Coturnix japonica: one gene and its partners. The protein of the gene in region 1 purifies or fractionates together with the protein of each later gene. This does not show direct contact. Links are inferred from orthologs where the notes say so. Each region holds a gene or a part of one and is shown on either strand. Other genes may lie near its edges.

The links.
Region 2: the proteins of NASP (region 1) and HAT1 purify together in Homo sapiens (affinity purification with mass spectrometry; 3 studies listed by BioGRID and IntAct, with this or other methods). This does not show direct contact. The link is inferred for Coturnix japonica from reciprocal best matches to the Homo sapiens genes NASP and HAT1.
Region 3: the proteins of NASP (region 1) and ASF1A purify together in Homo sapiens (affinity purification with mass spectrometry; 6 studies listed by BioGRID and IntAct, counting the BioPlex papers as one, with this or other methods). This does not show direct contact. The link is inferred for Coturnix japonica from reciprocal best matches to the Homo sapiens genes NASP and ASF1A.

The regions. Positions count from the first base shown.
Region 1 is NC_029523.1:18,774,611-18,778,191, reverse strand, and holds part of NASP (nuclear autoantigenic sperm protein), read right to left. Parts: coding exon 3,136-3,581; intron 3,001-3,135; coding exon of another isoform or gene 2,963-3,000; coding exon 2,579-2,962; intron 808-2,578; coding exon 725-807; intron 406-724; coding exon 329-405; intron 202-328; coding exon 128-201; intron 1-127. UniProt on the Homo sapiens protein: Component of the histone chaperone network. Binds and stabilizes histone H3-H4 not bound to chromatin to maintain a soluble reservoir and modulate degradation by chaperone-mediated autophagy.
Region 2 is NC_029522.1:16,001,540-16,005,683, forward strand, and holds the start of HAT1 (histone acetyltransferase type B catalytic subunit), read right to left. Parts: upstream 2,864-4,144; 5' UTR 2,795-2,863; coding exon 2,788-2,794; intron 2,647-2,787; exon of another isoform or gene 2,415-2,646; coding exon of another isoform or gene 2,369-2,414; intron 2,307-2,368; coding exon 2,253-2,306; intron 1,934-2,252; coding exon 1,862-1,933; intron 1-1,861. Other genes in the region: SLC25A12 (calcium-binding mitochondrial carrier protein Aralar1), read left to right, coding at 2,946-3,041. UniProt on the Homo sapiens protein: Histone acetyltransferase that plays a role in different biological processes including cell cycle progression, glucose metabolism, histone production or DNA damage repair. Coordinates histone production and acetylation via H4 promoter binding.
Region 3 is NC_029518.1:57,106,807-57,110,901, reverse strand, and holds the start of ASF1A (histone chaperone ASF1A), read left to right. Parts: upstream 1-1,251; 5' UTR 1,252-1,637; coding exon 1,638-1,746; intron 1,747-4,095. UniProt on the Homo sapiens protein: Histone chaperone that facilitates histone deposition and histone exchange and removal during nucleosome assembly and disassembly.

The DNA of each region.
Region 1 (3,581 bases):
TTGTTTTGATTTTCAACCCCTCCCCAACCTTCTCAGCCTTAAATCACCTCTATTCATTTTTGAGTATGAAATAAAACATGGCAAGACTTAACTTAGCAGTTCATACACAACAATTAGCACTACTTACCAGATTCAATGCTAACTTCTCCTAGCTTTAGATGAGCCTGAGCTGCGTGAAGCTGAGCTTCTTTTGTTTCTTGCCTAAATCAAGGGGAAAAAAAAAAACAACTGTTTTCAAGTCTTTGAAATACACAGCGTTATGCCTTCACCACCTCCCAACTCAGGGAGCTTCTCTAGCAAACATTCAAATCACAGCCTCAGATTTTACCTCTTATAGATGACTTTGGCCAACTCCAGCATGTCCCAGGCCAGCTCAAGATTGCCAATTTCCTCCTCCTCACTTTCCTGCAAAACCAGAAATGCATAAAATATGAAGCCATTTGGATACCTGTCACATTAAACAACCTTATGCTTTTAAACAGCATTCCCAAGGAGTACATTTTGACCAAGGGATGAATGCTTTGCTACTCGAAGGAAGAACATGTATGCCTATAAGGCACTGATGCCCCTCCATTAGGCAACATTGGTTTCACTGCACAGAACTAACTTCCTGTACAGGAATAAACAAAATACAAGTGAACTTTCAAAAGCTTAAAGATATTCATGTGACATTTAGACAGACCTTGCATTCAATAGCGCCAACATCAGAGCTCAGCAACCTCACCTTGTCTTCCACTGCCAATTCATTCTCCTTATCATCTTCAGCTTTATCATTTTCTTTGTCTTCCTCTTCAGATTCTTCTGTTTCTGTGAGAAAAGCAAGATGAATGAGAATGCTTGTTACTGTGTCGCATCACCTGGAGCCAGGCAGAATATTTGACCCAGCCCTTACCCTTCCAGTGAGAGGTTAGAAGTGTGATTAAGGAGAGCACAGGTAAAATTACTCACAGCAGCAGCCATCTTGCTGAAAACATCAGGCACTGTAAACTAAGGTAGTTCCAGGCAACCTCAGTTTACATTTTAAAATGTAACTTCATAATGGCAGCATGGAAACTTAGCTAGAATTGTTCCCACTAACACACTGTGAATCCCCACTGAACACATGGAATCCCAAGCAGCCATAGAGGCACTGGTCAGTTGTTGGAACTCCATGCTACAGATAACAAGCATTTTCAGCAAGATAACTAGCAAGCTGCATACAGATAAGACTGCTCCTGAATTTGAGTTCCTCACTTCAGATATTCACAACATTACCAATGAACCTGCTGTCATACAGTGCTATTTGACTTGTGATATTGTGCAAGTTTTGCATCATCTGCTCTACTGGTAGATTTTTGAGGTGTGCAGGTAAGGAATCTGATTACCTTAACAACTGCTAATTTCTGTGACTTCAGCTTCAAGTCAACCAACTCAGACTGTGACCACTGACTAATTCTAGGACAACAGGAGCTTGTTGTGGTGACTAGAAAACCCATGAGCTGCTCAGTCCGACTGCCAACACCAGCCAAAGAGCACCAAAATAATTAAGTACATGGACAGCCTGATCAAATCTAAAACAGAACAGCTGCTGTCAGTGCACCAGATTAAGATGTTCAAGGGTGTCCTCATAACAACAAGAGTCTGAGCAAAAGAAAGCAGCATGTACATAAGCAGTCCTTCATAGGATAAAGAAGAGTGGGTAACTGTTCTCAGTTTATGTTCAGTCACACTCTGGTCAGACAGACACCTTCCCAGGCAGCTGCTTCATTACTGTGCTCACTGTGCTGAGCGGTACAAGTCCTCCCAGTATCCAGAACTATTTGATCTGAAGACTTGCCTCTCCTCAACAAGGCTCTTCCTGTGCAGCTGAGCTACTGACAAGCCAAGTTTCTATTAGCAGAATATTGATGAACTTGTCCAACAGAAATCCACAGCCTACTAAGGCCATGCACATACAACTACAGCAAAGCACATAGGTTTTACCAGGCGACTTTAACGTAACCTTGCAAAAAGCCATAATGAAGCAGGGAAGCAGAATGGCAGAAAAAGCAGGGAGCTCCAAAACTGCGCTAGATGGAAGCAATAAGCCTGCATTCGTCAGCCAAATTCTCACTTTTGATTACTGCTAGGAAGACTCAAACAGAAAATTACTCCCTGCCCTCTGGAAAGCTAATTTATCACTTTATTATAAATTCAGCAGTTCTTATTTTTCTGCACCACTGTTTTAAAGTACAGTTATAACCAGAGGCAACTCGTGATTTAAGTTATTTGAAGGTTAGTGCGTTAAACCCAAATGCATGCAAGTGAACATCCATTCAGTATTCTCCACCAGCCGAGCCTTTACTTACGCATTTCACAGGGCTGTAAGTTTGCTTTAAAGATTTGCTTTGCAGTTAGTTAAGCGTTAGTCTAAAGAAACTGAGACTATTCTCTAGTTCTTGAAACTTTACTGAAGCCAGTTACTCGGATGTAAAATCCTTCTAAACCCCATTTTTCCTCATTTTAAGGCAAACAGAAAATCCTGAATGGAACACTTTACCCACTGTTAGCCAAATCCAGCAAGTCAGCCACCCACAAGTACTTTTCTCCTCACTGTTACCTTCTCCCTCTTCCATCTGGTCATCTTTCTCTTCTTTTTCTACCTTAGCACCTTCACTCTCTTCCATCTGGTCATCTTTCTTTTCCTCTTTCTCTACCTTAGCAGCCACTTCAGTCTTTTCTCCTGTATCATTAGCTGGATCTTCACCCACTGCAGACACTGGTTCTTTTGAGGAATCCACCTCTTTGGATTCATCTGGTTTCTGTTCTGGAGCTGTCTCCACTGACTCCTTCTCCTCCACCTTCTTTTCAACTGCTTCTGCTTGTTCTTCCGCAGCTTCTTTCTGCTCTGCCACAGCTGCTGCCTGCCCTTCTGCTGTCCCTTCTTGTGACACTGCCTTCTCCTCTGCCTGCCCTTCTACAGACTCGTTCTCTTCCACAGCTGCCTTCACCTTCTCATCCAACACCTCCTTTGTGCTGTTCCTGCCCTCAGTTGCCTCTGCTTCTTCATGCTTTGTGTCNGTTTCTGTTCTGGAGCTGTCTCCACTGACTCCTTCTCCTCCACCTTCTTTTCAACTGCTTCTGCTTGTTCTTCCGCAGCTTCTTTCTGCTCTGCCGTCTCAGTTTCCGCTGTTCCTGCTGTCTGCTCTCCTGCCCCTCCTTTCTTTTCTGCCGGTGCTTCTGCAGCTTCGTTCTCTTCCACAGCTGCCTTCACCTTCTCATCCAACACCTCCTTTGTGCTGTTCCTGCCCTCAGTTGCCTCTGCTTCTTCATGCTTTGTGTCCTGCTCTTTCTCCACTGCCTTCTCTTCCACAACTGCTGCTTCTGCATTCTTTTCCACAGCCGTCTGCTGGTCATGCTCTTCCGAATTCACTTTCTCCACAGAAGTCTCTGTCTTCTCTGCAGACCCTTCAAGCTTTACCTCCACATCTGTAACTGTTTCTTCTTTTGGCTTTTCTTCTGTAACATCTTCCATTTCAACATCCTCTCCTTTGATTTCCTTCTCAGTTAGCACTGGAGACTTCTTCACCTCTTCTTCCTCCCCCATGGCATTATATACCTGT
Region 2 (4,144 bases), on another chromosome or scaffold:
TTCTTCAGACCTTGGTATTAGAGGTCTTTGCTGGTAATGTGAAAACATCTGCTCAAGTAGCATCTACTCACACTCAGTAATGTAGCAAACAAGTATTTTATTCATGCTGACAGAGTTAACAGCAGCTACTGCACAGTAACTGCAACTGAAGTTCTTCCATCACAAACTTTATGATTAGTGAGTGAAATCAGAAGTTAAAGTAGGATTTTCTATGAAAATTTATAGAAGACTGTAATACTCAATTCCCAGATATCCTCTGCAGTTAAAATAACTACCTAAAATTGGAAGGGATATAGCTCTTCGCACAGGCATTAAAGTGATTGTTCAGCCCCATTAACAAGGCGTAGGTAGCTCAAGAAAACAGTGACATACTAATTTTGAATGAGTTACAAGTGCACGCAATGCTGTAGGAGTTAACAGCGCTATTAAATGTTCTTTTTTAATTTAAAAAAAAAAAAAAGGAGAATATGGAACTACAGTCTCATTGCTGTTTTACTCCAGTAAAACTGGAGATGAAGTAAAAAGGATTTTCCATCAATAGGAGATATTCCAAGAGAAAAGTGAACGAAGGGTTTCTTAATAACAGGATGAAACTCAGCCCTCTCAATGGCAGTTTTCGTCTTCTTCAGCTTGATTCAGAGAACGACCCAGTTGAATCAAAGTAGCAAGATTAAAAACAACAAAAAAACAAACCAGAAAAAAAGGGAAAACAGAGTAATCCTGAAACATCACCATGGAACGAATTAGGACTCAGAAGAGTACAGCCATGTCCACATTTATACCCCTATGCTCACGGGAAAGGCGTGTTTTTTTGTTTTTAATGGCATTAAATTTTAATTTTTTCTAACGTTGTATGTAGAACATCTACACTCTCACAAAGAAAAAAGTAAACTGACAGGTATATTCTATTACTTCTCATCCTTTGGATTTAGAAAGACACAAGAGGAAAACCAAAACGTTATATATATAGATTAAATAAAAATAGTCACAAAATGAGTATTTGAACTGTTGTTCAAATGGAAGAGAAATGCTTCACCGGTTAGCAGCTCAAAGGCTTCAGTATTTAGGTTACAATGATGTTTTGTCTCACAAGCCAACCGTGCATTTAAAAGTCGACTAAGTTTTGCAGAACAAACTGTTAATAGTAGTTCTTAAGAGTGCTTAAAATGTTAATTATTTTTACTTTCTTAATAAGTAAAGCTATTTGTACTGCTCAAGGAAACAAAATGCTGAAGGTTTGGAAAGATTAAAAAACACAGATGTATTACCTACTGTCTTATTAATTAACAATACAGGTAAGTTTCAGATATAAGTAAGTCAGTAATTCCACTTGTATTCTATATATGGTATTAAGCAAGTTAGCTATATAAAGCAATAAACAGTTCTGAAAAATAGAGTAGTACTTTTTCTACACAGATTTTAAAGACTTTGTTGAAGATAGCTTGTGTTGTCTACATGTTGAGGGAGAGGTGGAAAAAACAAACCAAAAAACACTTTCCAGCTTTACTTATTGTGTTTCCTCAGAAGAACAATGGTGCATACTTAGGACTACATAGTAGCAAAAGTTCTAGAGAAGAAGAAACTAAGAGAATATAGTTAATAACTCAAGAAGAACAAGGTGGCATCATCCCAATGCAGTTTAGCAGTATGTTAATAGATTGCTGATGTTATTACACAGGTAAAAGCCTGAGTTTCTGTAGCTGTACTGTACCATTCTCAATAAAACTACACTATGAATTCCTATTCTTGTGCCTGTATATTTATAAATGCATATTATCAGCTAATTAGATTAAATTACAAGGACTTTATTAAATAGATATTAAAATATTCCAAACACATAATATTTAAAAATTGGCATTACCTAGTTTGAGCTGTATTGCTTCATTTGTGTTACATTTGTATTCAGCCAGCTTCTTCTCCATAGGAGTCAGTCCTAAAGAAAAAGATTTTGGGAAGAGTTTCGATATGTACAATCTGGGTCAGCGTAATTCAATGATTCAATGTAATTCAATGTTAAGAAAAAGGCTCTCAAGAACAGAAGGAACAACATCATAACGCTGACTTCATTTCATAATGCACTGCTCTCCCTGCAGCTCCTACTTTGTCATTCTCTTTACTTTTCAAGCCAATCTGTTTTCTCACTATGAAGTGTTTTCCAAAATAAATGCAGATGTGTTTGAATAAGGGTTAATGCATGTCAGGAGATCTTGAACTGTGGCAGGAATGCTACCAAGCTGTTACGTAGCTATTACCTTCTTTCCAGAGTGGATGAGGCAGGAAATTACAGGTAGCCTGTTTCCCAGCGTCTAATCCAGCACACAAAAGGCGTGTCATTCATCAAGGCATTTTTCAAGTGTGTTAAACCCACCCTGTCTCCCTATTCCAGCAGCATTAGCAGAAGTTCTTCCTCCCATTTCAAGCAATTCAGAATAAGGTTACTCCAGAAGTGTTCTCAATGACCCGGCGGGCACAGAGCCGCACACGGTGTGTAAATACAGCCCCGCTGCAGAGCTGACCCACGGCAGCGGCCGCCCAGCCCACGGCCCGGTCCGCAGGGCCCGAGATGGCCCCGAGCTCCTGCTGTGCTGCGGGGGGCGAGGCCAGCAAAGGGCCCTGCTCCCGTTCGTGGCCCAGCACAAACTCGGGCCCGGTCGCGGGGAGGAGCACCGTCCGCGCCCAGGGCGACTGCTCCCCTTAATAGAAGATGGACGACGGCTCCCACACCCCGGCGGCTGCAGTCAGGCTGCAATCAGGCCGCCGACCGGCCGGCCCCGGCCTACGACTCACCCGCCATTTCCCAGCGGCGGCGGCGGCCGAGTCACCCGGGCACAACGAATCAAGCCGCGCGCCCACTCGGCGGAAGTGAGAAGACGCGCACACACTTCCGCTTCCGCCCGCCCAAAAGCGGCCGGGAACCGCCAGCTGAGGCTGGACCCCGTGTGCGCATGCGCAGCCGCGTGCCGGCGGGAGCCTTTAAGGAGCCGCGCGTTGGCTCAGCGGCTCATTGGCACAGCCCCGCCCCAGGGGCAGCCTGCAGCGGGGTTACTGATGTGTCGTTACTTCAGCCTCACACCTGCCTCAGTGCCGGGACGGGATGAGGGACCCGGGGCCGATTCGCTCTCGTTAAAGCGTTAGTGGCTTCGCCTCAGGGTCCGGCCCTGCGGAGCGCAGCAGCGGCGCTGGCAGAGCAGGCAGGTTCCTTCCAAATCCCTTCTGCGAGCTCGGACGCCGAGCTGCTGTGCCGGTCTGCGCTGCCCCGCGCCCGGCGGGTCCCGCTCTGCCTTACGGTCACACCGGCCGCTCCGACCCTCACCGCCGCCAGGCGCCGTACGGCCGCTCCCTGCCGTGTCCCTGCCGTGTCCCTGCCGCGTGCCTGGCCGCTCCCTGCCGTGTCCCTGCCGTGCTGCGGGCTGAGGCTGCAGCGCTGTCCCGTTGTGCTGGGCCGCCACATCCCCAGGGCATTGCCCCGCTCAGCGGCACGAGCCGTGCACGAGCGCCTCTCGCCCCGATGCGGCGGCCCCCGACGCTGTCACACGGAGCCGGCTGAGCGTCCGCTGCAGCCCGACCCGACCCGGCCGGCACCGGTCGCCGCGCTGCGGGATTTGGAGGCGCGGGGCCGCCGACACGGTACGGCGGATACCGAGGGCAGCCCGCCGGGCGGGGCAGGGCGGGGCCGGGCGCTGCCTCCCACGGCGCGGCGCTGAGGCGGCGGCGCTGCGGCGGCGCGGCGGGTGGGTAGAGGCGCGCGGCTCCTCCTCCCGCTCGCCGGCGCAGCATGGCGGTCAAGGTGACTCCTCCGTCGTCGGGCGGCCGCCGTGCCTGCCCGCGGGGCCCCGAGGGACGCGGGACGAAGCCGGAGGCGGGGGGGGGGCGGCTGCGGGGAAGGGGCAGCGCGGTCGGTCCTGCCTCCGTCCGCCGAGGAGCAGCGGCGCGGGCCGAGGCCGTTACTCGGCGCGTGAGGGAGGGAACGGTCGCGGCCCGGCGCTCCGCATCCCCAGGGACGGGCGCGGTGCGGGACCCGCGCGCTGGGCCGGCTGTCAGCGGGTGACACGGGATGTCGTGTTTGAGTCTTATCGGTTAGATAAGGCAGCCGATACCGCCGCCCTTATCGGCACTCATTGCGTTTTTGTTCCCGAGTTGTAGC
Region 3 (4,095 bases), on another chromosome or scaffold:
AGAATGGATGCATTCACCAACCACTAAAATAGACAAATATTGCAGAGCTGAAAAATAAAGCTTAGAAGAAAAAAAAATAATAATCCAAAATGAAATGAACCAAATAAGTTCCCAGCAGGCACTTGTGAATCTACATGTGATGCAACACTGGGAGCACGGAAGGTCAGAAATGTTTCTAAGCTGTGATAATGGCTGCTCACTATCAAGTATGTGCAGCTCTTTCCCATTTCCTCGTCCCTACTCCCCAGCCTTTTCTCTATCTTTAGCCCTTCTTTTTCACTCCAAAGCGCTCTGCTCAAAATATCCTGGTAGATGACAAGCTGCTGCCAGCCTGAAACCTCCTGGAATGTTACAACGAAACTTGCCCAAGGATCTTCCCATGGCACATCTCTGTGCAGATCAGTCAGAAATTATTGGCAATTTATGTTTCTTGATAGTAATAGTAGCTTGTTGTGAGGAGTCTCTTCTACTGTGCCCAATCTGGCCTTTCATCTGACACGAGGAATGCTAAAAATGTACACTGAGCAACAGATGAGGCAACTATCAGACACTTCTTTGTCAACACAGAAGCATAATCACCTTTCCAAACCTGGCAGTGGCTTGGAGGACGGCTAAGGGCCTCACTGTAGACATGGCAGCACTCTGCTGCTTGCCTGCATGGCTCAGGCAAGATGTCTGCTCCGTACCTTCCTGCCGCACATTAAGTGTTCCCCGCAGGCACGATTACTGCATGACCACGTATTTATTTCCTCCGGGAATCGCCTCTCACGCTGACGAGAAACACCTCACACCCCCAGCCCGGGGCACGGCTCTCCCCAGCCCAGCGGCGGGCGGTGACATGACATATCCCCGCTGCCATTCCCGCACACGGCAGCCTAAAATGGCCTCCTCCAAGGGCCGCTTGTGTTCGGGGCGTGCGGCGCTGCCGGAGGCTTCACTACAGCACAGCCACGGGTTGACAGCTTTCTGGAGGCCGCTCACACAGCGGACCAGGGCTCGGTCGGGCAGTCCCCAGTCAGCACGTAACACCTGACACCTCCGGGTTCGCGAAAAGAATTAAAAAGAATGAAAACACGCCTTCCTCGGGCACTAACAACCGGCAAAACCCACAGCACATGGCGGAAACCCACGCGCGAGCAGGGGCGCGGCCTACGGCTCCCGGGGCCGCCCCTCGGCTCCGCGCTCGGCCCCGCCCGCTCGGCCCGGCCCCTCCCCGCTCTGCGCGGCCGTTGGCCGGCGGCTGCCGGGCGGTTTGGCGGCGGTGTCGGGCGCCGGCCGGGCGGGGGCGCCGAGCGGCGCGGAGGGGCCGGGCGGGCGGCGGCGGTGCCTGTCTTGCCGCCGCTCGGCGGTCGGCTCGGCTCGGGGAGGAGGGCCCTAGCCCAGCGCGCGGCCAATCCGGACGGGCGCTGGCGGAGAGCAGGGCAGAATGGGCCGTAGTTGAGTGAAATAGGAAAGCTGCGAACAGAGTGGAGTGCTCCCGGTGTAAATAAAAGGGGGGAAGAAAAGTTTCCCCAAGTCGCGGCTCCGCAGCCTCGCTCCGACGGGGGGCAGGGGGCTTCGTGCGAGGCGGAGATCACCGCTCGGGACTTTGCCGTGCGGCGTTCACCCGCTCCTCCTATTGTGATTTTTTTCAAAATATGGCAAAGGTTCAGGTGAACAATGTAGTGGTGTTGGACAACCCTTCTCCTTTCTACAACCCTTTCCAGTTCGAAATCACATTTGAGTGCATAGAGGACCTGTCGGAAGGTGAGTACCGCTCTCCGGACGCGGGTTCGGCGGTGCCCGGGCTGTCGGATGCGGGGCCGGGCGGGCTCCCTTCGGGCCGGGCCTGCTCCCGCCGCCGCACGGTTCTCCTCCCCGCAGAGCCGTGCGGCCACGCGGGGGATGCGGAGCTACGGCGGGGCCGCCCGGCCCCGGCCCGGGCAGGGAAAGTTAGCGGCGGAGCCCTCGCTCCGGGGCCGCCGCTCCGCTTCGCTCCCCGCCGCGCCGTCGCCGAGGCCGCCTTCAAGTTGCGAGGAACTTGTTAGAGTGGTGGTAGCCATGTTGCCAGCTTTGTGTGTGCGTGGGGGGGCAGAGCGGGAGCGGGCGGGCGGGCAGGGCGCCGCGCGGCCCCGCGACGCGGGAGCGGAACTGTTGCGCGGCCGTAGCGCTGCCAACGGGAGGTACCCGCAGCGCGGGCAGCGTTTGGAGCGTGCGGTGCGGGGCCTCACGGTCCATTTTAATACTTAAAAGGAGGGAAGGAAAAAAAAAAAAAAAGAAAAGGAAAAAAACAGAGCTGGAGGCCGGGCGGACGAGCGGGCGGCTCTCGGTGGGCGCAGTGCTCGGAGCCCGGTGGGTGGCGGTCCGGAGGCGCGGAGCCGTGCCGGGAGGAGGGGGAGGCGGTAGCCACTATTTTTGGAAGTCACTCGAAAGTTACCGGCTGCCGCCGGGGGAGGCGGCTCGGCGCCGCCCTGCACGCCGCCCCGCGGGGACCCCGGGACGGGAGACGCGGCTGAGGGACCCTTCTCGGCCGGGCTCGAGTCCTCCCGTCCGCACGGCGGGCCGCGAGCAGCCCCCGGCCCGCTGTGGGCCGGCTCGCTCGGCACGATGTGTCCGTGCCGCCGGCAGGCCGCGCCGCGCCTCTCCGCGGGAGGCGCCCCGAGAGTCCGCGCGGGAACAACCGGGCGGGAGATTCGAACGCGGCGGCGCACGGCGAAGGAAGCGGCGGGATGAGCGGCACCGAGAGACAGGAAAAGGCCGCTCCGATGGAGCAGCCACAGGACAGGTGCCGCTATGGGGCACAGTGCCGCCTGCTCGCCGGGGAACCAGGGCAGACAGCGGGAGGCAGGGAAAGAAACTCGTGGCAGTAGAGAATGGGGACGTTTCTATTGCTGCTGTGGTTCAGTTTGCCTCCCTCAACACTCGGCGCGGGTTTCTGTCCCTGTGTGGCGGGTTGGCGGTGCTGTCAGGAACTTTGTCAAAGTCCTGTCTGCGTTTGAGGTTCCCCCCACGCCTCTGCCCCCTTCCTAAAACTGATCAGCGTCTCAGTTTGAGCAGCCCGCGCCATTAAGCTCCGTGCACATCCCGATGCTGATGGCTGCTCCTCCCTGACTCAGGCAGTCAGGGCTCACTCAGGACAGCAGCACCTGAATCCTCACACAGCAGTGCCTGCAGCAGCACAGGCACTAGGCATCACCTTGCCTTTCCTTTGGTTTGTGACCACTCCTAACTGTGTGTTTAACAGTGCGATTAATCTGGACAGTCAGGATGAGAACTGGAGGTGGCCCAGTTCAAAATTCTCAGTTCCCTTCCCCCATCTGACAAAGGTTAGGCTACAGGATATGTTTAGGGTAAGCATTGCTATCTTTCACGTTTAAAAATGAGGTTAAACAGCTTCTTGAAGAGAATGAATTGCTGTCATTTCCTTAGCGTTTGTGTGCTAATGTCTGCTCTGCTGTTTACAGCCAGTCCTGTGCACCACTGGTCTTAAAAGTAAATTAATTGAGTTCACTTCCCCCGTCTTTAAATTATTCCAAGTCATCATGTATCAGCAGTATCAGATCAACCTTTTAAAGGTATAAGTTATCTTCAAAGGCTTGTTTTTCAGTACCAAGTATTACTGCTTTAGAATGAGTTTGTTTTCCTGGAATAACTGCAAGTGATGGTATGATAACCTTAAGCGATCTAGCCTCTTATGTCCCCACTCCTTGAACACAGCAGATTACATAGGCTCCAACAGAAGGTCACCAGCTGACCCAATGAGTGCTTAGTACCCCAGCAGCCAACACCAGGTGCTTATGGGGTAAACAGAATCTCTGATGCAGAACCTGGCCCGTTGTGCCGTGCTGTATGAGGGGTTACGGTTTCATTAATGAGGAAAAAAATCAGTTGCAAGCCTAAATGCTGGAGACATTCCTACAGACTGAACAAATTCTCATTACAGCTCCCAGCAAGTAAATGGGCCCTACCTGCTGTAGGAGAATCGCAGCTTAACCAGTCTATGAAAATAGAGGGGCTTCTGCAGACTGGAGAAAGGTGGTGGGATGGCCTAGTTTATGAGGACTGGAGAAAGCATCAGCTTCCCTGATAAAGACAAGTTCCCTGATCCTTTATGCC